6 linked regions of the Solanum lycopersicum genome follow. The protein of the gene in region 6 interacts with the protein of the main gene of each other region in a pairwise test. Links are inferred from orthologs where the notes say so. Each region holds a gene or a part of one and is shown on either strand. Other genes may lie near its edges.

What was found.
Region 1: the proteins of TCP20 (region 6) and transcription factor KUA1 interact in binary tests that used the Arabidopsis thaliana proteins (3 or more experiments, as listed by UniProt). The link is inferred for Solanum lycopersicum from reciprocal best matches to the Arabidopsis thaliana genes TCP9 and AT5G47390.
Region 2: the proteins of TCP20 (region 6) and heat stress transcription factor B-3 interact in binary tests that used the Arabidopsis thaliana proteins (3 or more experiments, as listed by UniProt). The link is inferred for Solanum lycopersicum from reciprocal best matches to the Arabidopsis thaliana genes TCP9 and HSFB3.
Region 3: the proteins of TCP20 (region 6) and transcription factor bHLH47 interact in binary tests that used the Arabidopsis thaliana proteins (3 or more experiments, as listed by UniProt). The link is inferred for Solanum lycopersicum from reciprocal best matches to the Arabidopsis thaliana genes TCP9 and PYE.
Region 4: the proteins of TCP20 (region 6) and transcription factor HEC3 interact in binary tests that used the Arabidopsis thaliana proteins (3 or more experiments, as listed by UniProt). The link is inferred for Solanum lycopersicum from reciprocal best matches to the Arabidopsis thaliana genes TCP9 and HEC3.
Region 5: the proteins of TCP20 (region 6) and zinc finger CCCH domain-containing protein 6 interact in binary tests that used the Arabidopsis thaliana proteins (3 or more experiments, as listed by UniProt). The link is inferred for Solanum lycopersicum from reciprocal best matches to the Arabidopsis thaliana genes TCP9 and AT1G19860.

Annotation. Positions count from the first base shown.
Region 1 is NC_090807.1:64,304,016-64,309,783, forward strand, and holds the start of transcription factor KUA1, read left to right. Parts: upstream 1-1,982; 5' UTR 1,983-5,768. UniProt on the Arabidopsis thaliana protein: Transcriptional repressor. Direct regulator of the transcription of peroxidase (Prxs) and reactive oxygen species (ROS)-related genes via the recognition of 5'-ATCACA-3' motif.
Region 2 is NC_090803.1:7,238,963-7,244,487, forward strand, and holds heat stress transcription factor B-3, read right to left. Parts: upstream 3,763-5,525; 5' UTR 3,282-3,762; coding exon 3,021-3,281; intron 797-3,020; coding exon 344-796; 3' UTR 151-343; downstream 1-150. UniProt on the Arabidopsis thaliana protein: Transcriptional regulator that specifically binds DNA sequence 5'-AGAAnnTTCT-3' known as heat shock promoter elements (HSE).
Region 3 is NC_090802.1:62,691,861-62,697,574, forward strand, and holds the start of transcription factor bHLH47, read left to right. Parts: upstream 1-1,772; 5' UTR 1,773-2,021; intron 2,022-2,174; exon of another isoform or gene 2,175-2,248; intron 2,249-2,552; 5' UTR 2,553-2,599; coding exon 2,600-2,667; intron 2,668-4,180; coding exon 4,181-4,299; intron 4,300-4,426; coding exon 4,427-4,554; intron 4,555-4,949; coding exon 4,950-5,360; 3' UTR 5,361-5,714. Other genes in the region: uncharacterized protein, read left to right, coding at 1-25, 895-1,002.
Region 4 is NC_090810.1:1,210,327-1,214,730, forward strand, and holds transcription factor HEC3, read left to right. Parts: upstream 1-2,291; 5' UTR 2,292-2,425; coding exon 2,426-3,277; 3' UTR 3,278-3,388; downstream 3,389-4,404. UniProt on the Arabidopsis thaliana protein: Required for the female reproductive tract development and fertility.
Region 5 is NC_090811.1:66,583,801-66,588,515, forward strand, and holds the end of zinc finger CCCH domain-containing protein 6, read left to right. Parts: intron 1-1,710; coding exon 1,711-1,835; intron 1,836-2,112; coding exon 2,113-3,181; 3' UTR 3,182-3,361; downstream 3,362-4,715.
Region 6 is NC_090807.1:65,637,316-65,642,227, forward strand, and holds TCP20 (TCP transcription factor 20), read left to right. Parts: upstream 1-2,323; 5' UTR 2,324-2,391; coding exon 2,392-3,504; 3' UTR 3,505-3,734; downstream 3,735-4,912.

The sequences.
Region 1 (5,768 bases), about 1.3 Mb from region 6:
ATTAGTATTATAATTTTATGATAAAATAGAATAATTATGACAAATAATATAATTTATATGACATTTCATCCGCTAGGACTCGCAATAAGTATTCGTATGAACAAATTGAAATATATTTTTTTTAAAAAATTTAATATGATAATTATATTTATAACAAAATACAGAATAAAACATTTTTATTCATAAAATCTTTCACTTTAAAATAATTTAGAATCTCATGTGCAATTTGCTCATAATTTTGTGGGTGTGAATGAGAGAGACATGAAGGTGCGTCCCCACCTCTATGCTTGAGTTGGATTAAAAATACAGAATATATCATCAAATATTTTTTTAATTTTTTTGTCAAAATTAATATTATATATAAAATGAGAGAGAACCTAAATTTGTACGGCAAAAGCACCTAATGATGGGTTAAATCAAATTTTTTTGTTGTCTAATCATCTACTAATTGTTGTTACCCTAGTATGGTTTTATTTCTTACTTAAGCAATGTTAAATGTTCTCGATGAATAAAGAATATTCCTATCTTGTGTTATAAAATGGTTCCCACTAATTTTTATTCATTTCTTGTGGAAAACTATACCATTTTAAAAATTACCCTAGCCCAAAGAATGGTATCATTCACAAAGTGATTGTAATTTATGAAAGTAAAGTTTAGATCGAAATAAGTTGTGATTTAAATTATAAAATAGATATATTGTTATTCGAGATTAGAAGTTCAGGCGAATTTAGATGGTTAGTTATTGATTAATGTAAACTTAATAGTTATTGTAGATGACTCTAAAAAAGTTGATAGCACTTTGAGTGATCTTTTAATTATTGATAATTTTTAATTTTTATAATATTTAATTAGCTAAAATTTGTTTTTTATTTATTTGAAATATATAGTTTTGATTTTTTTTTGTAAAAATTTAAAATTTTCTAAAATACTTATCGCTTAACTATTTAATTACACATGCATTGTGTTAATTTTGTGTTGTTACGTATGCATATGAGTGCGATGTGCTTCTAAAGACAAATTTATATGTTACATTCTGGTTCCTACATAAAAAGGGATCAAAATTGCAACATTTCAAATAGTTAAAGAAAAATCATTTAATTAAATATCAAAGTAATTAAAATTTAATAATGATTGAGGGGGGCTAAAAAATAATTATTTTTATCAATTAATATTTATTTGTAAATTTACTTTATTATGATAATTCATATTTGATATAAAATTTTTATGAAACTTCGAATTTTGAATTTGGAAAGATATTTCCTCTTCTATAGTGTATACTCATAAAACTTTTATTCTTTGAATACTAACCAAACGTAATTTAGGAAGAGGAAAAGATAGCCCCAAAACGACATGATAATCTTTTTTTTCATTTTTATATTAAAGTGTACTTTCTTCGTTTATTTTTATTTGTTGTGTTACGTTTTTACGAAAGTCAATTTGATAAATTTTCAAAGTTAAATTAGATTATATTAATTTGATATTTTAAATAAAAAATTATATATTAAAAATTATAAATTATAATTTTTTGCATATCAATGATCAAAAAATATATTTTTAAATGTTAATTAAAATTCTTATAATTTAACTCTAAAAATAAAAAAATATGACGAATAATAGTAAACGGAGAGAGTTTTGAACCACATGAATATCTTTTCTTTATGAAATTAGAACTTTATATTTCTTTGTCCCTTCCTCTGAAAATAAAAAATATGACGAATAATAATAAACGAAGAGAAATTTCAAACCACATAAATATCTTTTCTTTAAGAAATTAGAACTTTATATTTCTTTATCCCTTCCTTTTTAGTCTTTTTATTTTATACCATACAAAAGCATACCGCAATTATAGTTACGTGCCTAATTATCTGACTGAACCTAAATGATAAAACATAGAATCTTTAATTCCGCTAGAAAAAAGATTTCCATTAAAACATTCCATTTTTTTTGGAGTCTTATATGGATAAGTCAAAATAATTTTTTTTTTTTTTACTTTTTTTAATGATGAATTCTGAGCACCGACAATGCATAAATTTATCTTTTTTAATATCATTAGGTAAGAATTTACTTTATTTATTAATGATAAAGAGACTTCACTTTTCATGTTATCCTTGATAACTATGGTGGGTAATTTTGAAAATGAAATATTTTCGATGAAAACGTAATAATTTTTTACATAATTAATATAGGCATGAATTATCTCTTTATTGGTTCGGTGAATTAACTTGTGATCACTTATTCATTTGATAAAATGTCAAAATACTTATATACTTATTTTTTTAAAAAAGGTTTTCGCATTTTTTTGATAGACCAAGAGTATTTATTTATTTATTTTCAAAAAAATCATATTATTTGAAAGAAATGAGGAGTTTGGCTTGCTATCGGGAGAAAATAAATATTAATAGGGAGTAATTGAAATTGTTTTTTTCAAAAGATTAAAATAATATTTTTTTCTCCAAAACTATTATTGAGAAAAACACACTTAAAAACACCTTAATATAGGTTTGGCCAAATATATAATTAAAGAACATAAATGTTTTTTTAAATTACATGGATAAAATACAAATCACTTCTAAAAGAAATTACTTTTTTTACAAAAACATTTTTTAAATATATTAAATTTTAAAAGTTTAACCAAGACATTAGTAATAAAATCAATTAATCCTCACTTAATTATTACTTATCCATATGTTATACTTTTCCTTTTTCCATTCGTATTTTCATTAAACTCCGATCATTCAGAAATTGTGCCGTGTAGGTCCCTATCAAGAGGAACATTCTCTACTAAAGTTTTTTACATTTAAAATTTTAATTCGAAATTTCTAATTAAAAAAAAAATAATTTCATTTACTATCTAAGCTTATTGAGCTAGTACTCCACACTATTGATATTTCATATCCAACACACTCTTTACATTAAATATTTTCAATTGATTAAAGATTAAAAAATATATTTCGTCATCTAACATGTTCTTGAATTAATTGAGTAGCAAGTAATTTTCAACTGTCAATGTCTTAAAAAAGCAATTAAATTATTCAAAACCCTATTAAAAATCACGTGATTCACTATATTGTTGGAAGTACCAACAACCAAATTATTTATTTTTGGTTTCAATCACTCAAAACAAATCAGAATTGTCCCTCTATTATTGAGGGACATCCTTGTTCTTCTCTCATTATTATTACTATTATTATTATTATTATTATTATTATTATTGTATTATTTAATATACATGCACAATAAATTCCACATCTCATTAATTACATAAAGAGTTAGATAAGGATATATTTTATTTTATTTTTGTCTTTTAGCCTAAGTAGTAAAAGCAAACAAAGTTTCCTTTGGACTAAAGTCTCTTAACGTAATTTCCAAAAACTTTGGTTGTCATTACTTTGATCAATTCTTCTCCATCTACTACGTAGTATACTTTTAAGACGTGTTTGACCTACTAGTATTCTAAATGTCTTTGACATAAATGTTTAAAAAATATATATATAAAAAAATTAAGAGAATGTTTTGTAATGAAAGAGAATATTTTTCAATTTATCATGTTTTTAACAATAAACTCCAATGAAAATAAATTACATACGTGATATTTTATACTGAGTGTTTCATGTCATCATTTTGAGGATCTGTTTAAATTGATCTATTTTAAATGATTTAAGTTAAAATAGCTTGTTATAATATTTGAAAACTTTTGGAAAGTGTTATTAAATACTTATTTTTAAATTTTAAATAATAGACGTAAGTTATTAAATATAAATTAAATCTTACTTATAAGTCGTAAAATATAAATCTAGTAAAAAAAAATAAAATTCTAACTCTCCACCCACCTAGCCTAGACTATGGTCAAAATAATATTATTCTACTTATTTTCAAAATGTAAAAAATAAGTACTTAATTATTTGTTTTCGAGGTTGAAAAATGTTTTCTTCATTTCATATCAAACAAACCTCAAAACACTAAAATATTCCACACGTTTTTGCAATATTAGTCTTGTGGATTACTAATTAGGGTAGTAAATATTAATATTAAAATTTGACTTGTTTTTCTTGCTAGCTAGGACATGTATTTGTGTTGCGAAAGAAAGAATGTTTCGTTCAAATACGGCACTTATAATATCAAAACTTATAATTATTCGAAGGAAATCAATTTCATAATGATATCTAATTAATTTTTTAAAAAAGAATATTTGTCGGTCTAGCTTTAGAAATTTTGAGGGTACCAAGGTAATTTAGATGCTAGTAAAATTAAGATCGTAAATTCGTAAAATTATTTACTTAAATTTTGTAATGTTTGATTGAGTGGAAATGTGTTTTATATGTAAATCGTATTAAAAAAGGATTTGTGTGATCAATTTAATCAAAAAAATAAAGCTAATACGAAATTTCGAACTTATAAGTTTTTATTTAATATATCAGCTACTCAATCACCCTTACAGATGTGTTGAAAGTATGTTTTGAAATATGTATTGATCAGGAAAATTATCAACGCGTAATAAATTAGAGCCCTTTGAATTAACTTAAAAAATTAGCTTATAAATCAAAAATAAAAAGTCAAACTGAAATAACTTTTGAGTCAAAAATTAAAAAATAGGGAAATACATACTTTTGGTTTCTACTTATTGCAAGTCATTTTATCTTGTCAAAAACTTCGTAACTTATTTTAAGTCATTTTAAACTTATTTTAAATTATTTTTATATTTATCAAATATTTTCAAAAATTAAAAACTGATTAAAAAATAAATTTGATCGACTTTTAAGCCAATCATACGGGCTCTTAACCAAATTACTTCTTTTTTTAATTGGGTAAAATATAGCAATGTAGAATACATTTTAGCAATTCAAGTCAAACACTATAAATAATTTCAAAAAGAAAAAGGTCTCTTTTTTTGGAAAAACATTTGTGCTTTACCATATATAGTTTCCTTTTTTTCAAATGGCTTGACCAATATGTGAAAATGCCTTTTAAAACTAATCATACAATTAATGAATAAACATAATTATTTAAATAATCTTACCAAAAAGATTTGGTTTGTAACCACACATCATTAAAGAATTCCTTAGAATAACTCAATATCCAATTGACCACAAAATCAAATCATATATCATATGTTTGAATAAGTAAAAAGTTTAATTACTTGAAAAAACTTGATAGAAGACTTTATTTAGACATATAATGAAAATAACTTAATAGAAGACATTATTTAGAACTATAATAAAATAAAAACAACCTAATAGTAAATAACTTAATAGAAGATTTTTTTAATAATGAAAATAACTTAATAGAAGACTTTATTTAGAAATATAATAAAATAAAAACAACTTAATAGAAGACTTTATTTAGAAAAAGAATAAAAATAACTGTATAGAAGACTTTATTTAGAAGTATGATAAAAATAAATCAAAATGACTAGATTTGTTTGTTTTTTTTTTAATAAAAAAAAGGGTAGATTTTTCACAAACATGTGTCTCCACTAGATGGAATATAAATTAATAAACTACATTATCTAAATCTACAAAAATATATAATTCCTATATTACCCAAAAATGAAGCCACCTACCCTCACATAATTACCAAATTGCCACCTTATCTCTACCTTAAACCTAAATTTATATTTTTTGTTCCTCATTTTATATTGTCCTGTCCTTCCTCCTTTCTCTCTCTTTGTAAGCATTTTCTTTTTCTTCCTCAAAAATTTCAACTTTCTCTCACTATATATCTATATCTCTATAGTTTCGATTGTAGCAAAAAAAAAAAAAAACTTTAAT
Region 2 (5,525 bases), on a different chromosome or scaffold from region 6:
GACGAAGCTATAGCTAGCTAAGGTAATTATATTTGAACACTCTTCATCGAAAAATTATATTGTATATATAAATCAAGTATTACTTTTCATACATATTAAAGCTTTGATCACTCTTTGCAATATTTAAGCAAATTAACTTGGAATGCATAGTTTAGAAAAGCAAATGATTTATTAACATTTCACGTGAAAATAAAACTTGCATAATTTATACAACTTAGGTATATATCTCCACTTAATTAGTAGTCACTACATGCTAATTAAGACCATTAATTTTTGGATGAAATAATACAAAATAGCATAGTACAACTATTACATATAGATTTTTTCTCTCTAAATTTCTACTTTATTTGCATAATTGAGAGAGAAAAACACTAGCCATTTCATTAAGTTCAACTCTTTTTCTCTTCTTCTCCATTTCTTCTTTAACTTCTAATCTTACTCCAAATAACATTGGTTTTTTTTCATCTTCTTCTTTCTCTGGATTTTTAGCAAATATTGTAACAATATTCATTAATTCTTTGCACTTGTTTTTCATGAGTAAAAGCTCAGAGCTAAGGACTCCATTTTCCATTTTCAACCTTTTATTTTCGTCGACAAGATTTATATACTCAGATGATGATGAAGTTGATGATGATGATCTTTGATCTTCTTCTATAATATTGTCTTTCTTGTTGTTTGGTTGTTGCCTATTTGTCCATGCTTTTCTTCGGCGAATTTCACGGAGTAAATTCTTTTCGCCCTTTTTAAACTTATCATTACTGAACTCCCATTGACTTGTTGTAATTTTACGAAAACCCTAATGTTATTTATGCAAAATGGATGATTAGAATAAATTTCAAAACAATCATATGAAAAATAAACATTCCATCCAAAAAAAAAAAAATCATCTCAAACTTAAACAATAATTATCTCAAAAAAAAAAGAAGAGAAGCTTCTTAATTAATCCATGAAAAATAGTGCACTTTTTTAATCTCCACTAACCTTTCCACTTAATTAGTGAAAACACTATTATTACGCATGTTAATTGAAAAGTATACAAATAAGACAAACTTAATCCAAAGTGATTAACTATTTTGTGACTACTTTTGACAACTAGCAATACATGCATCTTGTCTTGATAACCTATAATAATCATAATTATTAACCTAAGCTCTTAGCTAGTATGATTGATGTCAATAATATAATCATTATTTTTATGTTTACTCCATAATCATGATATGTAATTCTATTAGTTGAGCCCACAAAAAATCCTTGGTAATCTTAATTTGTATTAAAAATATTCTCTGAGGCTCATTTTATACGTCATTTTTCGGATTTCAAGAGTTAAACAAATATATCTTTAAAGGTAAATTTTTCATAGATCCTTTAAACATTTTGAATTATCAATTATTGTGATTTGTGTAGTACTTTTTACGTAGTTTACAAATATATAAATTTCATTTCAAAAAAATTAAAAATTATATACTCAAATTTCCGATTAAACTTAAACTGATTGACTTTCAAAGCTTAAAAGATCTCATATAATTGAGACATAGGGAGTAACAAGAATTAAGTTGTGTTCTTTAAATCCTTTTTACTTTAAGGCTGCGTTTGGTACGAAGGAAAATGTTTTTCATGTAAAATATTTTCCTAAAATATGTTTTCCTGGAAAACAAGTAGATTTTTGACTGATTTTCTCATGTTTGGTTGGTGAGTAGAAAATATTTTTCGAAAATAATTTTTAGTGTTTGATTTATGAATGAAAAATATTTTTAAGAAACATCTTTTATTTTTACTAGAGTAGAAAATAATTTCTGAAATTCAAAATACTTTTTAAAAACAAAATTATTTTTTTGGGGTGGAGGGGGGCATAGGGGGCAAGAGTGAAAAAATAAAAATTTAAACTTGATAATATTTTTTAAAAAAAATTGGGGGGGAGGGGATGGCGAGAGGGGGTAGGAGTTTAAAAATAAAAATTTAAAGTTGAAAATATTATTCAAAAGCAAAATTAATCTTTTCGGGAGGGGGGGCTGCCTAGTGGTGGGTGGGTGGTGTGGGGTTAGGATTGAGTGAAAAAATAAAATTTTGATATTGAAAATATTTTTTTAAAATTGATATTTTTTTTCCAAAAAAAATGTAATTTGAAATTAGAGGAGAGTTTTGGAAAATGTTTTCTCTAATTTTTTAAGGAAAGTCATTTTCTAATTTTAAGAAAAAATAAATTGATTTGAAAAACATTTTTCAAAACTTTTATCCCAACCGAACATGAGTAAATTGAAAAACATTTTCGAGAAAATATTTTCGTTCGTACCAAACGCTCTAAGATACCAACAATTAACTTTAATTATATAATCAAAAGAATCAAACTCCTCAAACTACATGTGATTATTATTACATTCTCTAGCTAGTTAAATACTTTTTCAATATCACATATATATAGATTAATAATTTATTTTCTATGTATTTAATAAAAAATAACTTATTTTGATGACAGTGGGAAAACAAATTCAATCTTTTTGAAAAAAAAAAACTAAATAAAATAAAATTAATTTTTAATAAATCACAAATTAAAATGAGAAAACGATTTATTTTCTTAAAGGATTTCTTTTTAGTAGGGAATAATTTTTGGACAAACATAAAAAATTAATTCAACACGTGTTTGTTTTATTAGCAACACGTTTTTTCAATGGATATTTTTGTCGGCAACTATATATATATATATATATATATTTTTTTTTTTTCTCGAAATAGTTTCCGATAAGCACATTTCCAAGAAACTTTCATTGGAGAAAATCATGTTATGTTATATTTATTGATTTGATATAAATATAAAATATATTAATATCAAAAAAGTCTGTTTTTTTTAATATTATATGTTTTGTTATATTTATTAATCTGATATAAATATTTAATATAAATATATTAAAAATTTATATTATATTTATTGATTTGAGGTAAATTCAAAATTAATATATGAAAAACTTAATGTTATATTCGTTGATCTAATATAAATCTTGAAGACGAATATATTAAAAACTTACATAGGTATTAAGTTGTCGAACAAAGCTTGAAAAGTTGCTATGTTTGAAGAGTGTAGGTAACAAATCCCTTGCAAATTCCGCCGGCTGCCATACAACAAACGCCGATCCATCGGAATTCCAAGAAACGAGGTCGTCTGTCGCCGGATCTTCCACCAACATGTAGGTTTTCAATAAAAATGGTGATGGTGATGACTTTTTCATCACAACATACTCTAACAAACTCTTTTCATCACTTACTTGACCTCCTTCTAATACCCCCATAACAAAAAAAGAAAGATTTTTTTTTCAAGAAAAATTGGTAAAATGAGTAGAGAAACACTAAATAAGCAACCCCTTTTGGTTTGTTTTGTTGTTGGAGTTTTTGAAAACCTAGAAAATTGGTAAAAACAAGAAATTAAACACACAAAAAATGAACTTTTTTTGTAATTTTTTTTTTTCAAGAAAATTGGTGAAATGAGTAGAGAAACACAAAATGATCAACCCTTTTTGGGATTTTTGATTATTTTTTTTTGTAGAAATTATTGAAATTATTTAGTTAGATAGAAGAAAGAGTGGAGAAAAGAAGAAGGGCAGTTAAGAACTCCCAACCCCAACAATAGAAACCTAACACGACACCGAAGTTCATGAGAAATGCAAAGATAACTTTTTTTTTTCTTTATTTTGAATTTTTTTTTTTGTGTTAAAAGAATGAAACTTTGGTATTGTGCTTACATCTTCTTATATAGTAGTAGTAGAATGAGAGTCATATATATATATATATATAAAATTTGTGATCGTGGTGTGATCGTGGTGTGACAGATAAAATCTCTAATTAAACTAGTTAACTTTATAAAATATCTATAAGACGTGAATATATTCATTTTTTAAATATGAATTTGTGTCGCGTAGATTCCATAAGGTGAAAATTGTTTTCTATAATATTTTCTTCATATTTTGGATAATTATAAAAAAAAAATTAATTGTGTATGTTGTAGCTATATATATTTAGTTTTATACATGTAGTTTCTTACTTTTTATATTTTTTAATTATTTATTGTCTATTATATTTTAATAACTATATTATTTTCTTGTTGTTATTGTTCTTTTGAATCTATGTACTACTTTTCTTATTAATTGACATATTCTTTTTTATTGTTTCACTTTTTTGTAAATATTTCAATTTGAAGCACTTGACTATAGAGAATTTTTAGAAAAATTAATAGTATTATTTCTATTTTTACGATGTAAGAGTTATATTATTAAATTTATATTTTATTTGTTGCACGGTATATGTTATTATATATGTTTTTGCTTAAGTTTTTAAAACGAACAAATGAAAAGTACTACTTCTACCTTATTTATACGGCATAATTTTCATATGAATTCAAATAAATCCCTTCCTTTAATTATAGTTAATTTTATCTCCAAAATCAATCATGTTAAAAGTTAATATATAACAATAAACTTTTAATAACAAGTTAAAATTTACGGTAGCCTCTAAAATAAAGTAATCTCATTATTGATAGAGTCAAGTTAGTTATTTAGGCATTATAAATATATCATTGTATATTATCTAAATTATTGTGTAATTATTTAGTTGTTTGACTTGAATTCTTTGTTTGAATATAATTTGGATACTATATCATTCTATTGCATTCTTTGTGTAAAATACCTCATTGCTACGTGTATTTTTTTGACTATACAAACGTGTGAGCATAAAAATGTTACTTATTCAATATATATTTAATGTGGAAACAACTACAAGTAGTTACTTACAAAATTATTCAAAATTTGGTCCCACTTGGGTTGAGATTATTATTTTTAAGACTCAAAAAAATTCTCAAAAAGTTAGGAATAGAATGTTTCAAATTTGGTGCTGTAGTAGAAGTAAAATATATTATGTTTCATTCATGTACTGTTCAATTATCTGATACATGTGTTGATTGGTAGTAATTAATTAATATATATATATATATATATATATATATATATATATATATATATATATATATATATATATAAAATAAATAAAGAATTTTGTAATAATTACTTAACAGTAATATAATTATTGCTATAAATATTTAGCAGATCAATAATTAATAATCAAGATTTTTTATAAGTATTTTTTGAAAAATATTTTCTTTATTTCTATGAAAAGTAGTGATAAGATTGTACTTATAAAATTTTACTGTGTATAATAGTAGTTGTTGTACTTTATATAAATATTGTTAGTAATTTGAATGACTCTAAATATAATGACATTAATTTAATTATTTACTAAATATTTTTGTGATGATAAAAGAAATCTATTGTTATTAAACCAAAACCAAATCAAAAGAAGAAGTCCATTTGAGTAACTATCACTCTAGATTTGCTAGGAGAAAATAAGCACTACAAGTGGCAATCAATATATATATTGATAATTTAGTAGTAATTGTTTGTAGGGCCACTGTCTTTTTTTCTGATCAAAGGTATTGACTAAAGAATTTTTGTTTGTATGGATAGTAGGTAACGATAAGTTGGTGC
Region 3 (5,714 bases), on a different chromosome or scaffold from region 6:
AAACAACAAAATCCATGGCACTAAGGTAATTTTTGGTTTCATCTAAATTAACCCTCATCGTCTAATAGTGAATGCATTGACCCCCTCCCCCGTATGATGTGCTCGTGTTGGCCATATCTGGAACTCATGATTCTGCGTTTGGAAGGATTATGATTTATGAGGGACTTTCATACACTTCAACATGTGTTTTAAAAGAAGGATACATTTTGAAGCTTAAATGTCAAAATGGGATGCCATTTTGCAAGACTTGATGCCAATTTTGAGTGTGTGTGGTGTTGTTGTCTCCCCACTTTCACAGAGAAGCCAATTTACTCTCCTTTATTTTACCTAAAAAAACTCCAAAAGAGACAACACAGCTCCTTAGAGCATTTTTGGGGAAGTGATGGAGGTGAACAGTTCGAGTGTAAAACAGTTGGAACGTTCTTTGTAAACCTTGATGAAGCTTGGGATTAGATGACCTTGTAACATGGATTGTAGCTGATTGTGAGTAAATGTGAAACATATGATCTGAACATCCTGCAAATAGTATTTACTCTAATCAGACAGTGGTATGCAGAGCTTCTAGAGTTCTAGAGCATAGGAATTTGTTGTGGGTCGTTCATACCATAGAACTGTTCCTGGGATTGGGAAAGATGCTAAAACTTGGACCTCATCCAAGTTATAGAAATTACCTAGTAAAGTCAGGTTTCCTTTTTTATAGCAGAAATCACTCATGTTTGAAAGGTTACCCATGCTGTCACGCTAGCTTGAGAAGCTATATCTCTCATTGGAAGATGTACCATGTCATTATAAGATGCCTAGTTGGACCCTACTGTATTGCTCAAATTCTTTAAAAAACAGTCTTGTTTTGTTGATGTCTTTTTGATCTTCATTACATTTTTTCAAATGTTGCAGGCAATTGTCGGTGAGCTTTGGTACGTTGAGGAATATGACATATTAGCTCTTGCGTTGGATGGGAGAATGAAAGTCCGCAAGTTCCAGCTTGGCTGTTCGAAAGTGTGAATCAATCTATGAGAATGGAGTATTGAACCTTTCACCACTTGCTCCTGTATGGCAAAGACATTAACGTATCGATGGGGATCATACGAATTCTGATGTGCAGAAATATTCACTTCCACTATATATACAAAGGAGCGCTAAAAGTTGGGATATTACAATGTATAGTTTGCTATTCGAACATTTTCTGCATGATATTTTAAATTTATACTATAAGTTTGTTAAAAGTATGTGGTTAACATTTTCTAATGTGTCAAGTCTTTGGTGTAGAAGTAAAGTTGGTGTCAAATCTATACCTACTATTATAAAAATGAGCTGAATTTTATCTTATTGACTAATGACATATGCTTTTCTCTAAGTTGATCTTTGTAACTCTTTACACTCGGAGATGCCACCTAAAGACTACTATTACTACACCAGTACACCACAGATTTGCCACCAACTACACTCGCAAAAAGAACCATAAGAATCAACCCCAAATCATACGATCTCTTTTACGCCTTCATCATACCATTTTCTTTGGTCAATATCTTAGTCCTATCTCGATGGCCATAATGTTATATGTTGTAAATGATTTAGGAATTGAATATTATGTATATGTATGGGTTTAACATTAGAATATGTGAAGCCTAACTATTAACGAATTCTTTTTGTAAAGTTCGTGGGTAAAAATTAGACCTTTTGTCCTAAATAAAATGAAGGATAAATTAAAAATAAAAATTGGAGGATAAAGATTTAATAATTTATGTGGATTGTAGCAAGTGAGAGGAGTGGCGTGTGTGAAAGGTCAATAAAGATGACATGAGATGGGAGCGAGTGGAAATTGCAAGCATAAACGTGTAGGGCTTTGCTATTTGACAAAAAAACAAAGCTGGCGTGGCACGCATCTCATGCGTTCCCCACTTGATTCTTCCCACCACCAGCTGCTCGCCACACGCCCCTCCCCACCCACAACTTATTAAAAAACATACAATCTTTCTTCCTTCTTCCCCTAATCCGACTCTCCTCTCACCATCCCGTTTCAGGTATAATTTTTCTTTCTATCTGTTTCACATTTATTGCTCTTATCCTTTCAATCTTTCTTATCTTTAAGCCCTATTTCTGATGTGCTTGAAATGATTTCTTTTGGGGTTGCGCTTTTAACAAAATTTTATTAGGTTTTTTTTATTTTTGCGTAGGCAGAGAGCAGAAGTCATGGGGCTTCTTTTACGAATTTTTTGTTCTTGCTTTGGTGAAGAATTGGGAACTAAAGGTTTTTTCTTATCAATAAATAGTTGATTATAGAAAAATGGGGATCAAATGCTGTTATTTACTACCCAGTCTTCCGAAACAAAGAGTGTTTCTGCTTAGTTCGCTTGAATTTTACTTACCTCAATTTAGGAGTTCCGCTGTTTAATAGCATAGCATAGGAAATAGATGGTGAAGTAATGAGAAATCGGCTAAGTATACCGTGTTAATGCTGAAAATTTGTTACTTCAAATGAACTTAGCTTGATTGTTCATCATTTGACAAACTTTTGGACAATCCTTACTTGCACCTTTTTTTCCCTTGGACAGACAATAGTTTTTCTCATCAAAGGCTACACCGTGGACTCGAATAAGAGATGGATACAGAAAATCCTGCTCCAATAGTTGAAAAGGATACTACAGATGCGGAGACATCATTGGATAGGTCAGTTCTCAAATTTTGTAGCCTGAATGTCATATTGGTTTTTTCCCATCAAGTATGGGAATCTGCAATAAGCCTGTGACATCTTTGTTGTTGAACTTATAATGTGATTTTTTATAAATCAAGTGTGGTATTATTAAGAGGCGTCAAGAAGATGCAAGAATTACAAGACGTGGTATTTGAGCTTACCAAAAATCCCTGATTGACTATATTAATGAGTTAATTAAGTCCTTAAGTTGTTCTGCATTAACAAATTGGACCATTACAAATTGGCAATACACTTTGCCTTGAAGATTCGAAGTTGACTACCTATCAAAATATCTCCTATTCCTCTCTAACCAAATACACCAAAAAATACAAGTAGTATCAAAATCCAGATCTTCTTGATGACTTTGTCAACTCTCCATAGGCAGTTCTCATGAGCATCCTTAACTGAGAATGGTGTGGCCAATTAAGACCAAAGAGACAAAAAACATGTTCCATATTTTTGAGGCCACCTCACAATGAAGAAGATGTCGGGTGGTTTCAGCCTCTTTTTTGCACATATAGCATCTGTGTGGGAGCTGTATTTTCCTTCTCTATAGATGGTCTTGGGTAAGATGCCTCATATAAAGCTGTCCAAGTAAAACAAACAACCTTAGTTGGCAGCTTGGTCCTCCAAATAAGTTCCCAAGACCAGTTGTCTACCATGGGAATTCTAGAGCATATTTGTTGGTACCCTGCCTTGATTGTATAAATTCCATCTTTTTGGTATCCCCATTTAAGCTTGTCAACTTCATGGGGATGTTATTTTCATGCAAGTTTGATGCCAAAATTGCTTCTTATTCAAAGCTTAGCGTCTGGTTTTGTTACATTTGCAAGGGCATTGACCCTTGTATAGATAGTGAACAGATTTATGTATCCATGGACGCGAAAAAATTATTCTGGATTGGGTGGGGATCCTTTTTACTTTTGATACTATAGAAATTTCATGTGAGTTAGCTGGCATACTGATCAGCTCAGTAGGGATCTTTATGTGGTTGATGATACCAGCTTTGCAGCAACAATTTTTTTCACAAGTTTGACACATTATAAAAAACCCAGAACCATACTTTGTTCATTTGTAGACTGTCTCGCCATAAGTTGGAAGGTACTATATGCTAGTTTGCAGTTCACATAGTAGCTTTAGAGGCTTAATTTTATGATGCCAAGGAATTGTCGCTTCTTATTTCCAAAATCTACGATTTTCAGCAATAATTTAGCCCTTTCTGCAAGTCTTAACTTAGCAACAGGATCAGTTTCTAACTGACTAACTTGCAAAAGGTCCTCACAAAATTTAGAGAATGTATTTCTGCCTCTTCAAAACTCTATTCTTGCATCTTTGAATCCTCATTAAAGCTCCCAATCTCAGGATAAATACAGTAATAATTTGTGTACTCAGTTCATGTATTTATGTTGACTTTGTTTTGCCTGCTCTCTGCATCATTATCAGTGGCATATCTACACAAGTACTGATTGTAAAGCTCTCTTGTTACAGCTCTCATCTCAGGAAGAAGATTCAGAAGAAAGTTCCAAAAAGAATTCACAAAGCTGAGAGAGAGAAAATGAAGAGAGAGCATTTAAATGAGCTTTTTCTTGGTTTGGCTGATGCTCTTGGTAATTTCTTGATTGATTATAACTTACCCATGTTCACCTCTGACAAATTGCGGAAGTGGTCCCCTTAGTGTAATTTTCTGTAAAGAGATTGGCTAATTTATTAGACGTGGGTGCCTTACTGGTGCAGAACTATCTGAGCAGATGAATGGAAAAGCCTCTGTATTGAGTGAAGCTGCTCGATTTGTAAAGGACATGCTTTCTCAGATCAAGCATATGAGGACAGAAAATACGACTTTGCTGTCTGAATCTCAATATGTAAGTGTCCTAATTTCTGGGAATTTTGCGCAGCTTGGAGATGCTGCCCATTTCTTCTCTTTTTTATGTCCTTCGAAGTTTGAACCTGGATTCACATAGAACATTGTGCCACTATACGGACATGGTATATACACTAAATAGGATAAGTATGAGGCCCAAACTGAGAAGAGTTGCACTCCCCATGAGTTGGCCTTCTAATTATCTAATGTGAGCTCTCCAGTAACTCAAGAAGGATTACCAAAAAATAAGACAGTGGGATTCATTTTTTCATGAATGATTGATTTGCCCTTCATTCCTCATCTAGGATGTAGGATCCACTCAGTTGTGGTCTATACATTACAGCTTCACATATATTCTGCTGTTATTCTTTTCTAATTCTGCTGTCTTATTGACAGCTTAGCGTGGAGAAAAAGGAGCTTGAGGATGAAAATACAGTTCTGGAGGCTGAAATTAGCAAACTGCAGAATGAGGTCAAAGCAAGGGAAGCTGAGACTAGTCTTGACCTAAATCTAGCTCCTCCTGAAATTCATCACACAGAGTTTGCCTCACAAACTAACTATATGAGATTGCCTGCTTCGGAGCACGGATTTCAACAGTCACAGATGATGAACCCCGTGTACGTCTTTCCCTTGAGTTCTAATCCTCAGGCTTATCCAGCGCCTGATGCTGCAGATCCCATGGCTATGCCCTCATCTACTGTGAAGAAACCACAGCCTAGATACCCCACTCCAAATGATGTATGGCCATCCCAAATCCTTGAAAAGAGGCCTCAGTTATTGCGACAGGAGGTTCAAGATGGTGCGTAAGTATAGTAGTCTAGAAGAAACAAGACATTCGTTCATAGGGAATGGCATGTATAAGTACTAGTTAGGTAATGTAGATTTAGACGATAAACAGCAGCAGATTCAGCAATACTTTGGACTTGCAGCTCTCCATTGTATATAAACTTTTCGTTGTATTTTGATCAACAATAACCTAGTTTGTCTGTTTGAGTGTCGAGGTAGTACCAGTTGGGAGGTAACCATACCATAGCAGTGTTGGATACAAAAATATGTTGGTAAACAAAACCTGTAAGTAGGCGCCTGACATGACATCTATGGATTTTGATGTTGAACTCTTACAATGTTGTTGCTGTTGAGGTCATTTTCAAGCTCTGGGTA
Region 4 (4,404 bases), on a different chromosome or scaffold from region 6:
ATGAAAATAGTAAGATCAATGCTTTTTAAGTTAGGATAAATAATTTTATTATCGATAACATATCGACATGTATCTATTCCTGAAATAATATCGACATGTATCTATTCCTGAAATAGTATAATAAATGATTGTGTCAATGTTTTCAATTTTGAGATTGCTAGATTATGATATTATAGCTAGTTGGAGAATTGATAGATAACAATTGTGATGTGATTTTTTCTTGTAAAGATGATCTTGTATAGGATCATGTTTCGAAGATGATAATCGCGAAAAAATCTAAAATTTGAAAGTTTCATTTTAATTCTTCGTTTTTCTAGAATTTTCATGTTTTTATAACTAATAAAATTGAAGCATAGACATCAAGAATATTCAAGTACTTTGAGATATTTATAAATGAATATAGTCGATTCACATAAGTGTATTTTTAAAAAAAATAATTAAAATATGAGGTATTTTTCATTGAGAATATCTTTTACTTATATTGAGATCAACTTTCTATTTTGATCAATTTTTTACGATCTATTCATATGCTAATATTTTTTTGTGTTTCTAGAAATGTTGTCTTATTTTTAGAATCAATTTTTCTGTTCTACTTATGTTTAGTCATGTTTTGTGTCTCCTTTTCTTTCTACTTTTTATCACTTTTATTATTCAGCAATTAAAAGAGCAAAACATATGGTAGAAAATAGAAATAAGTGAAAAGATGAATCAACATGAAAAATATTTGACCAAAAAATGTATAAATATATGCCTAATATCACTAGCTCTAAGTTTTTTTGGCTTTATGAAGTACAATTGTTATTCAGATTACTACTAAGTAGATTGTCATTATATAAGAAAAACTATAGATAAAATATTTATTGCTCTTTCGCACATTTTCGAAGATCTTCAAATAGTTGTTGTACTTGTAAAATTCACGGGTCAACACATTATCAGTTTCTAGTAGGCAAATTGATGATTCTAGATCCACCAATGTTAATTTGAGGGAAATGTTCGCATGATGAATGATTCGCATATAGAAAAATTGTATATATTTATGTGACTATATGATAATGTATATGAGTTTATAATTAAAGAGATTTGATGTAGTAATCAATGAGAATAAATATTATAGCATAACATATTAGTAGGGATAATATATATATAGAATTGACATTGAAGATTAATATGATAGATCGTCATAGATGTAAATACAAAAATGGAACGATTCTCATTTGAGAAGTATCTACATAAAATTAACAAAAATCTACGTGTATTCTATCTCATGATTTCACCAACTCACAAATATCACAAACTAATAGAAAATAATTGTGTGACTATATAGTATATTGCATATAAGTATAATTATAATGATTTGAAATAATCATACAAAAGAATGAAATCATAATTTAACAATTAGGAACAACAAAGAATAATAAATCTTTCCAGAAAAAAATGATAAATACAAATCTGAATACTTCCTATATAATGACACGAGTCTCAATTCAATAGGAATCCTATAAAAATCAATAAAAATCTGAAATTATTTTCTAATATTTTCATGCGGTATTAACCTCTAGATCACACCCAAGTCATGAAGAATTTATCAATTGATTTTGATGGCTAGCAAATTAAGCAAAACAAATAGATAAATTCTAGGGATGAAGCAAAGGCAACAAGTCTCTACTAAATGCACTTGTATACCAATATAGCAAAAGTAGGACATTTATGGCCTTTGAAACACACTCCCCCCCAACCCACAACCCTCACAAAAATAGAAACTTCTTTTTGTTTATCTATTTATTTTTGAAAATAACTTGATCTTGTGGTCCCCCTCCCACAATAATTATTATTTTAGCTCGGAGCTGGAGTATAGTTTACGATACTTTGATTCATATCATATATTTATTTTTACAATTTTATAATAGTTGTTGTTAGATCAACAACTCAAACGACTGAGCATGTTGTTGTTGTTGTTAGACTAGTAACTTAAAAATGATTACTACAATCTCAACTTAACAAATTCTAAATCTCGGCTCCGCATTTTACTTTTATTAGAGACTCAATAAAGTTTGTAACACCCCCACCCCCTTCTTCCATTTGTCCCTCTATATATTGACATATATACATGTAAATATATATGTACGAATTGTGTATGTCATAATGTATATAACTTACACCTTTTCACTACCCTACGAAGATGTACTATTTAGCCTTCAAAGGCTTCACACAAAGTACATATTCATGAGCTTTGATTCAACTTTGCAATAAGTCACCTCCCTTTTTGCACCCCTCTTTTTTTTCTTTTTCTTTTTAATTACAATTTTTGGTTAAAGGGTTTCAATAAATATGAGAAAAATATTTTCATAATGACACAAAAAAAACACAATAGATATTCTTCTTCTTCTTCTTTCTTGATATATTCACCCTTTATACTCTTCTTACCATGGATATCAACCACATTAATAAACTCACTACCTCCACTTGGGATCCAACCATGTCCAATATGGACAACCAACAAGTCTTTCGCGATCAACAACAACAACAACAACCATGCTTGTCCAGTATACCAAACGACCATATCTACCACGAACATCATCATCATCAACAACAATTTCATTTCGAACATAACCCTATTTGGCCTAGTTTTCCTCTTCAAAACCCTCAACACCATCACCTTCCCTCCTCCTCAACCCAACAACAACAACAACAACAAGAAGAAGTAGTAGTTGTCCCTTTTGATCATGTGTTAAACAACCATGTTCAAACCCTAATAGAGGATCAAGAACACGATGATCAAGACGAAGATGAAGAGGAAGAAGAAGAGCTAGGAGCCATGAAAGAAATGATGTTCAAAATTGCATCTATGCAACCAGTAGACATTGATCCATCCACTATACGAAAACCTAAAAGGCGTAACGTACGTATAAGCAATGATCCACAAAGCGTAGCAGCCAGGCTACGCCGCGAAAGGATAAGTGAAAAAATCAGAATCTTGCAAAGATTAGTCCCTGGTGGAACAAAAATGGACACTGCATCCATGTTAGACGAAGCAATTCGCTATGTTAAGTTCTTAAAAAGACAAATCCGTCAATTACAATCATCGAATCATAACCTCCCACCAGCACAGATACCAGTATCGTCATGCCCTAATAATGAAAATTGGGCAAATAATATTGTCACACCAAGTACAAAAGGTCTGATTCTTGGCTCCTCTAGTAGTACTACAACCAATAATGTTACAACTTTTGTTGGTAACACTACATTGGATCCACCTTATGAGGTAATTGGTAATTAGTTAGGTCATATTATTATTATTATTATTATTATTATTATTATTATTGTGTAGTAATTGGAATTTTTAAGAATAAAAATATTATATATAGAGGAATAATTAATTATTTGTGTATAGTGGATCATGTGAATTGTGAACTAAAAAAAATAGGTTTGTTAGGATTGTGTTGACTTAAAGGGCATGATAATCATCACAACGGTTAGAGTTGAGTTACGTATGTTGGTATATACTAGTATATTAATAATTATAGAATATGGTTTTTATCTATTTATTTTTTCTGATCATCAAAAAGTTCGTTTGGCTGAATTCTCTCCCGGGAATAAAACAGTGACGTGAGAAGAAATTGAATATGATTATACTCTTTGGCCCACCTCACACACATTTATTTATTTTTTCGATTTTCAATTTGGTATCTGGGGGTCTGGTTAAATTTAGATTAGCGTTGGAAAATTTCATATTAGGATTTAGTGTTTCCTAATAAAGGTGACTCTGTATTCAGAAGGACTTGAACTCGAGACCTCTGATTAAAGATAAAGGAGTACTTACTACTCCACAACTACTCTTGCTGGTATAATCTCACGCACTTGTTTGTGCTCGTGTGCGCATGTTTGTACAATTTGTATTATGTATATGTATATTGAGTTTAATTTATATATTACACACCAAAAGTGTAAAGAAAATTATATTTTATGAAAGATTTCAAATCTCGTTTTTATGGAAAATTACTTGTAGATATCTTTTGAATAAATTGATAGTGTGATTTAATTCATTTTTTTTACTTATATATATTATTGGGGGTCTTCTTTGCTTCCATTTGTTGATTTTTCAGTTGAGTTTGTGATTTAAATTTAGAGCATTTGAAATTTGGAAGTTTTATAAGTATGCATTTTCATATGAGGAAAAGGGTGAAGTAAAAAAAATTTAATAGGGAAATATGTATATAATTGATATAGAAAAAACTAAAAAAAAAAAAAAAAAAAAACTACATATACTGATCATGATGATTCAATTGAGGTGTTTTCTCCTTTAATTTTCCCTTTAAAAAAATTCTTTTCTTTTCTTTTATTTTTGTCCTTTTAATACTTCAATGACTTCACTTTAAAACCCTATATTTGCTATTCCACAAATCT
Region 5 (4,715 bases), on a different chromosome or scaffold from region 6:
ATGAAAATAATAATAATTTTTTTACGGGTTAAGATCAGCCCCCCACCCCCAATATCTAAAGCCATCTGGGGATGTATGCGGCAACAGAGGATTTGAGGTCATCTGCATTTCTTTTAATATTATTCAAGTTATAAGAGAAACAAAAACATCTATCAAAGTTGAGAGATTTAGAGAAGTATAATACTAGTATATATGTAAAATCATGCAATATTCTTAATGATTATTTGATAATAAGAAATTCAAATAATTAGGATGGTTTCCTCAATCTAATTCATGTAGTTAAAATTTCTTTTCTTGTGTAGTTGACATTTGTTTTTATGTCACCTACTGTTAATTAAATCTTTTATGAAGGAGCTTCTTATATGATGTAACCTACTCAATTGAATAAAACTTTCTCTTCTTCTTTTCTCCTTTTACTACTTTATGAGAAACACTTGATGTGTGCTGTCAAGCAGTGTGCAATTCCGTCAGTCCCAATTTGTAGGTGCCAGTTGACACATAGCTAAATATGCAAAAATTGACTAAGTTAACTTCCTATTGAATATGCAACAGAACCTGCAGCTCCTGGAAAAGCATCTCATTAAAGGAAAAATGCAATATTATTATTAGGCTTTTAAACTTTTTTTTCAAGGTTTCAGTTCTTAACAGGGAAAAAAAGCCAACTAAATTGGGATTCAGGGAGTAATATATAGAAGGGGATGAAAATAGGGAAATGTATCTCTCACCCAAGGATCCACCAAAATACAAATAGATGAGTTTCCACCTGTTGAGCCATTTGAAATAAATGAGTTAATACTTCGATACAGATTCCCATATACAACTTGGATAACTTTTCTCCAGATAAGTATGCTCAACTTGGATAAGGTTAGATTTTTCCCCTTATTTATGATATTGAGGATTCATACACTCGGCCCAACCCGAACTAGCTCGGTATTGCGGTGTAATTCTACTCACTTTGAGTAAGGCTATGAATTGATTTAGCAAATAATACCGTTTAAACCTTTAGAAATTTTTCTTGGTGTAACTTTCCCAGGAAGGAAATGCATTTCAAACCCACATATATCCACATTCCTCCTTATACCTGCTAAACATTTCCCAATATCATTGGTTTTCTCTTATTGGTTCCTTTTCAAACAAAATCAAATGATAACCTCTTGTTCCTGAAAGCATTCTCTTTGAATCCAATCAAAGGTCTCATAGAGAGATGCTGAGGAGAGAAGCACATTTGTAGTTACTCCATCCTTCTAGAAATTTTTGTCGAGAGGAACGGACAAAAAGTGGCAGAGCAAAACAAAAAAGATTCCATATTACATCTGAGATTGTTTACTTGATTGTAACTATATGGAGATATTGGAGATATATGTTGAGTTAGGACCTGCTGGGTCCCTAAACTATGTTGATTTACAAGAGGTGCAGAAATTGAAATGAACAATTGATAGGCTACTGGCGTTGGATGTTCATGTGCCAATTTAAAGTTGAGTTGATAATTTCACTTAAACAGTACTGGTTTGGGTGTGTGTCCTGGGGGGAGGAGCTACTTATACATGCTCTGTAAGATTTTGAGGCATGCGTTCTTTATTTTGAGCATTCTGGCATTTTATTTCCTCTCTTTCTGTAATTTTATTCTCTTTTTTCCTTCTCACATATTTGCACACATGAAGTCATAGCATCACTGTACTAGTTGCTAACACTTCCCTTGATTTTTGACAGTTTGTGTTGGATACAAGTTGGCGAGTCGTTGCTGGTGAAGAAAGCAATGACATGGAGGTTCAGAAACAACGGGAGATGAGAGTTCTCGAAGCAATTTATCCACGTGAATCTTCCATTCCTCCAAAGTATGATTCTTCATTCTTGTAGGATTCTTTTTTCTTTCTAGCCTGTTCTGGTAATGCATTGTTGTGATGAGAGTCTAAACAGCCTCTCTACCTCACAAAGGTAGGGGTAAGGTCTGCGTACATCCTACCCTCCCCATACCCACTTGTGGGATTACGCTGATTATGTTGTTTGTTGGTTTGTTCCTTCTAAAAGCATTTTTTAAAAATTCCTTTTCCATTGATCTTGTTTTAGTTCTAGATGTTACTTCTTTTAAATTGTTCTTTTTTCCCCACGCAGTCCTTCTATGGGTCCTGGAGATGAAACCCTTCATAATGATCAGCACACACCAGTTGTACCCTTAACACCTGTTGAAGAGGAGGAGGTAGCAGATCCTTCATTTGGCACTGCTGTACCTACTAATGGTGCCAGCTCAACGGCCCAGGTAATGCAGTCAGGAGTTCCCTTGGGCAATAGAAGTGCCGGAAATAGCCTTCCAGTCCATGGAATCTCATCACCGGGAGGTGTTCCTGGCTTGGGGCTTGATGCTGTAGCAGAAGCTCAGGCAGCTTTAACTGCATTCATGGCAGACAGTGGCCAGGGAAATCTGATTGATCGCGATCTGCTTATAAAAATTTTGAGTGACCCGAAAATTGTTGGGCAACTGGTTACACACCAAGGAGTAGGCACCAGCTCCCATAGCGTGCCAGCTATGAATACCCAAAGCATATCTGCTGCTAATCTCATGCCCAACGCAAGGCCACAGGCATCAAGTATTGCTGCTCCATCTCAACCTGTAGTTAGTCGAGCCAATCCATCTTTCTATCACTCAGGTAGGACAGATCCTCCTCCAGTTCAAGTCAGTAGAACAGAACTAGTTATCCCCTCGATGGCAGGTGCTACAAACGGCCCCTTCCACTCTGCTCCAAGTAGAATAGGACCCGTTTCCGGTTTGAGGCCTCGTATACCCGAGGCCATGTCAGCTCCTTTACCAGCTCCAGTAGCAACTATGTCAACACCTACTTCCTCTATGCCAGCACCTGTAGCTAGGGACATCAACTATTACAAGTCTCTCATTCAGCAGCATGGAGGAGAAAGGCAAGAAACATTACCACCACAATATAACAACCACCGAAACAACCAACAGTTAGGTTCAGTTCAAGAATCACAAAATAGCTACAATTCAAGAGATTCAAAACCTAAGATAATGAAGCCTTGCATCTATTATAATAGTTCACGAGGATGCCGGCATGGCGCCAACTGTGCGTATTTGCATGATGCATCTCCCCAACAGAGGGGGGTGGGTAGCTTGCCAGAGGTCCAAAGTTCAAAGAGAATGAAAATGGATAGGGAGATTACTGGTACATAATAATGCAGCTTGGCTCTTCTCTGTACATTAAAATTTTTTCTCAAGGGAGGAATTGCTTGTTTGCAACTTGGCCATTTTTGCCCCCTTTTTTTCCTCCATTCCCCTACAATGAGTCAACTTCATTAAATATTTTACTTATGGTTCTAAATTTCAATTACAATACAACTTTCTTCTCTGCTACTTTTTTTTCTTTTATTATGATGCTTGCATGATGTCCAATACCTTTTATGAAGTTATTTTGCCTAGTTATATGCTTTAGTGTTGATGGTAGTTGTACCTATAAGGAAGTGTATATAAACTTGACTAGCAAGGGTCCGGATTAGTGTCTGTGGGTACGAAATGGTCTTTGTTAGCGTTTTAAAAGAACCCTTTCAAGTGTGGGACTTTTCAAAGTTGGGCTCCAATGCGGGTACTGAACACTAAAAGGAAAAAAAAACTTGATACGTCTTTCTTGAGGTGAGGGTCTTTTGGAAACAACCTTAGTCTTTGTTAGAGAGTGTTTTAAAAGAATCCTTTAAGTGTGGGACTTTTCAGAGTTGGGCTCCAATGCGAGTACCAAACATTGAATGAGAAACTAAAACGAAAAAAAAACCTTGATATGCTTTACTTGAGGTGAAGGTATTTTGGAAACAGCTTATAAGGTAGGAGTAAGGTTCGTGTACACAACACCTTCCTCATATTGCACTTGTGGGTTTAGATTGAGTTTGTTGATATTGTATATGGTTCTGGGAGTTTAATATGATTTAGTAGGTCAATAGCGTAAACAGTTTTTTACACTTGCTAACGTATCGAATAGTTCTGTGAGTTTAACAATGATATAGTAGGTCAATAGAGTAATATTTTTTTACACTTGCTAGCGTATCTAACAGTATTAGAAACAAATGTGGTTCTCACCACGGATCAGTAGGAAACTTATGAAAAGAATGTGATTTTCTCGCTCATTTCTCACCAAATCAGCTCACAAGGAAAAACAATGATCGAAAATATATTAGAGAAGTGGAAAATTTTGTAAGTTTTCTATCTGAAACAATTACTAATTCTTTGTTTTTTTATTTCAACATGTTAACTTAAAGTCAATAAATTTTAAGTTCGGGGTATATTTGACTTTTCAAGCATTATGTTATACGTGTCTTTCATCCTATAACTAAATGGACACGTACGATCTTCTACATCTTTCTAGAATAGTAACAATTGTTCTCTTATCACAGAGCACAAATGTAAAAAGCTCACAAAGGAAATAAGAGTAAAGTCGAAAGTCGAAAGTAGAAAGTGTAAAAAGTTTTTTTTTTCCTTTTACGGATTGAAGATAACTTACATTGATGGTTTATTTGTATGTGTGTGATGTCAAAAGTTGAGTCTTTAGGACTACGCACTTCAGTTTTTCATAAAAGAGAGAAAATTATACATGTTAAGATGTTGTATCGATATTTTCCACTCTTAGATTGTAATGACATCTTTTTTTTTATAGGATATTGATATTGAAATGACATAAAAGTAAAGTTTCTTCGTTGGGATGTAATTATGATTCTAAAGA
Region 6 (4,912 bases):
GAGACAACATTATGCAGATTTTGGAAGCATGAAAACAAATACTCATTCAATTTCTTTTTAGTTGTCATAGTTTATTTTTTTAAAGCCAAAACAATAAGAATTTTGACTAATATTTTACGATATATTTTTTCATCATATTAATATGTAAAAAATTATAATTAGTTGTACTTTTCGTATAATTTTAAAATATCTAAAAAAAAATTAGTATAGAATACAATAAATTTGATTCACATCATTGTAATCGATAAAATAAACAAGGATAATTTTTTTTTAAAAAAAATACATTAAAAGGAAGGGAAAATTTGAAGATTAATTTTCTCCCCCAAAACATCCAATGAAGTAGTTACTCACTCTCTATCTAGTGGTACTTCTATGATTAGCCTCTCGAGGTCATGTTTTTCTTTTAACTTTTTTATATGAACGTGATGTTTGGATCAGGTTTTGTATACTGAGGTTAATTATCAAAATATTTATCATTTTTCATCAGTAATAAATATCAAATAACTCATAACTCTGTTCATTGATATTAAAATAAAATGAAAACTTGTTTGAAAAATGAGGTCATTAAACTTCCAAAATCAATAAATGAGGTCATAAATGGACATTATGAGAGTATCAAAAGGAGTTGTAAATCATATATATTGACATAATGAGTTCATAAATTTTTCTACTCTTTTCCCTATCTTGTATTCCTATTAAAAGAACTTTTTTTTTAGAAATTCTATAATCAGTCCAATGTTAGATACCTAAATGACATGTTTTATTTTATTTAATTTAACTATTTAATAGACGAAAATGTATCCTTAGAATATTTTAAGAAGTTGAGATATTCAGTTAGAATATTTATAATTTGGATGTCTAACTAAAATATCATAACAAATTTAAAAAATTAACTATTTATTAAGCTTTTCTTAAAAATATCAAGTAGTATCTATTTAAAATTGTGATTTTTTAAAAGATAAGTAAATAATATGAATAGAAGATGATAATGGAAGAAAATTAAAAAAATACTCAATCTAAGCAATTTGCGAGCCACAAATTTACCATATCATAGGTGATATAGGTTTTGAAACCTACTATTTTATCAGTCTCAAAATATTTTATTTTTTCCATTAAATAGTTATTTCAAAATATTTATCATTTTTAAAAATTCAAAATAAAATTAAAAAACTGATTAATCGAAAATATTATTAGCACTTAGAAGTTGTTTGGCATAGGATATCAAATAGATACAGTTATCTCATGTATTGTGATATTCCATAAGATTAGTTATCTCACCATGTTATTTGAGATAACTTATTCAATCATTATAATACATATGATGAAATAATTTTCCTAATTAAACGCATAATATAATACTCATAATTTTTTTTTGATATTATTATACTTTATTGTAGTGATATAATAAGTACTTTTTCATCTTTAACCAAAGGGCTTAGATTCAAGTATCCTTGGTTACAGAGTCACCTTTGTTAGGTAGTGTTTTATCCCTCAATGTGAGACTTTTCAAGATGAATTCAAATTTAGTCGAGCTGGAAACTAGATATCAAATGAAGAAAAAGAACGGACACCAAATGAAGAAAAAAGAAATAAATATAAATACCAGACATCGAATGAAGAAAAAAGAAAGAAGTATAGAAACTACCTCTAAAAAATGGATACCGGACATCGAATGAAGAAATAAGAAAGAAATATATAAAATACCTCTAAACTAGAGGTAAATTATTAGTTGCGTTCTTAAACTATTAACAACCTTAAAAACACTCATCTACTTGACTAACTAAATTTAAATACACCATCGACTCATCTCCAATCTGTCATACAACATACCAAGTGACTTCAAACTCTTATAAGAGCATGATATTCTTAATAAAAAGTCAAGTTAAGTGTTGAAAACAATCATAAACTTGATAAAAATTTAGAAGTGTATTTCAATTAGGATTATATTTAAGTTTGTTTAGTTAAAAAAAAACATTTTTAAAAATGATATTAATAATTCACATTAAATTTAAAAGTATCTTCCCTACTTAACCCCCCAACCCACCCCAAAAAAAAGAAAAAAAAAGAAAGAAAGAGTATACCTATAACCCACCCACCCCTCTCCCTAAAGTAGAGCTCCCCTTATTATGGTGGGGACCTTATTGTAGTGAAGGGAGAGAGGGCCACATTTTAGATCCATTTTTTCTCTTACACCAATTGTAGGACCATTTGTGGCAGTCAGTATGGTCCACTCAGAAAAAGTCACACTTTTCTTACCCCTACACGTGTCATCATCCCACTCACTCTTCCCTTATATACCTCTTCAACTTCCACCGTCTGATTCATACTCCCATTTCCCACTACTCACACCTTTTTTTTTCTTCTTCTTTTCCGAAAAAAAAAATTAAAAATATGTCCAGTTTTCATGACCCAGATGATGATTGTGGCACCTCCGAGCTCAGTAACGGCGCTGCCGGAGATCTAAATGACCAGAAAATGGACGGTCATGCAGTTGCCGATGACAAAAAACTCGTGTTTTCCGCTATGAAAGAAGAACCGTTTGATTCCGATCATCATACTTTGGTTCCATCAATGCCTATGCCGGTAGCTACCGCCGCCCCTCCGCGGAGGTCCTCTACCAAGGACCGCCACACAAAAGTAGAAGGACGTGGACGGAGGATCCGAATACCTGCTACATGTGCAGCTCGGATCTTCCAATTGACCCGAGAACTAGGTCATAAGTCCGACGGAGAAACTGTTCGGTGGTTGCTTGAACAGGCGGAGCAATCTATAATTGAAGCTACCGGAACCGGAACTGTACCGGCGATAGCAGTTTCTGTTAACGGTACTCTTAAGATTCCGACGAGTTCCCCGGCGAGTAATCCAGAAATCGACGAGAACCATCCACAGAAACGTAGAAGGAAATCATCAAACTCAGAGTTCATTGATGTCGGAAGTTTGAATAGAAATGCTGCAAATGTTTCACAATTTGCTCCGGTAACAACCACGCCGGCAACAATAACCACCGCTCCACCGCCGGGATTCGTACCGGTATGGGGTATGAGTAATGGTGGTATGATGGTACCATCCAATGCCATTTGGATGATACCAGCTACGGTCCCACCAGCTCAAGTAAACGTGACCAATAACAATAACGTCGTGCTCCAGTATCCTCAATTATGGACACCTGTATTTAATTTGGCCACGAGGCCAATACCATCATTCGTGACTGCAGCCACGATTAATACTAACGGTCCGCCAGCAATAATGATTGCAGGACCGTTATCAGTGAATAATGGAGCAGCCACAACCACGGGGCCTAAAATTGGATCGAACAAGTCTAGCATGGCTCCAGCTAGTTTAAGCTCTAGCACAGATAAAAATAACAACAATACAAATGATGTTAAACCTCATATGCTAAGAGATTTTTCACTTGAGATTTATGATAGAAAAGAGTTACAGCTTATGAGTCGAAGTGGAAATCATCAACAAGAAACTCAAGTTACATCTTCAGAACGTTCATAGATTCAAGTGATCGTCATAATTTATTGAGAATCAATATAAATATAGAGGCAGAGTTTAGGCCAAATATGCTCATGATACTCTTGTATGTACAAACTACTAGAGGACACTAGCTATTCACTTTTTATTTTGTTTCTTTTGCTTTTGTTAAACTAATGTTAATTAGAAGTTGAATGATGTGTAACTCTCTTAGAAAAATTACAAATAAATCATTGTATAATTGTCAAAGGAAACATTATCATCCTTCAGCTTTATTATAATTTAGTTAACTGTGTATTAAAGATTTGCATTATTTTAATTGTCATGTCTTTCAAGCCCTAAAGTTAGAATTCATTGAAGTGGAAATCAAATTACTTCCAATTAACCTAACCTACTTAGTGCTTCACTACATTATATGTCACATAAGTGTCATTCTTGCACTTACTAGGCATCAAATATTTGGTCTTTTATTTCTCACCCATACTTATAAACAATTTTCACAAAATATTACTTTCTTTCGTGGACGGTCAAAATAGAAAAAATAAGTTTTCTCGAAGTGAAGATATATTTGTTTGCTCTATTAGTGTTCATCCAACTCTTCCATACTATCTTTGCCCTCGTAATATTTATCTAAAAATTTCTATCTGCCAACTGGCAGCACAAACAAACTTAATTAATAATCTTACTAGACAAACTTTTGACCATGATCTGTTTTTGGGAAATGAGAAAAATTATAAAGTGAGTTTCTGAAAAGACATTTTTTAAGTGAAGTGATTAGTGTTTAAAATTAAAAAAAAAAAAAAGAAAGTGTTGAAGACGTGCACGTGAGTATCGCACGTGTGAAAGTGGATTAGGACTTTGAGAAGAGTGGGGACCCGTTTGGGCTTTTTGATGGATCAGTTTTGGGTTTGCGTAGAGTGGTATACTTCCATTGGTGGTCGTGGTGTGGCCCACGGCCCACCTTGTCTAGTGGGTCAAAAATAGAAGCTTCCCGATAGTCGATTTTTTCATCTGATATTCGATATTCGACTAATCTAAATTTGAGTTGAGAAGGCTCGCATTGAAAGGTAAAACGTTTCTTATTAAAAAGTAGTTTCATTATCAAAACTTGAGCTTAAGACGTCTGATTTTTTTTATCATTATACTATAATCTTTGATGATTCCAGATCAATTTTCGTGATAGAATAAAGACTTTTGAGAAGAATATTCTTCTAAAAAGTATAATGTAGATGGGAAACAGGCTGTGTTTTTTTTTTCTTAACTAAGTGGTACATTTCTTACCTAATCACCCCAAGTTGATATAATATAGTGTAATTATCGAATACTTATATATACTAATGAAAAAAGTGAACACTTATTTATCATGTTTGTTTTTTACTACGTGAAAATAAACAATTGCTATGTTAATGGAGTTATATTAAAAACTTCCAAA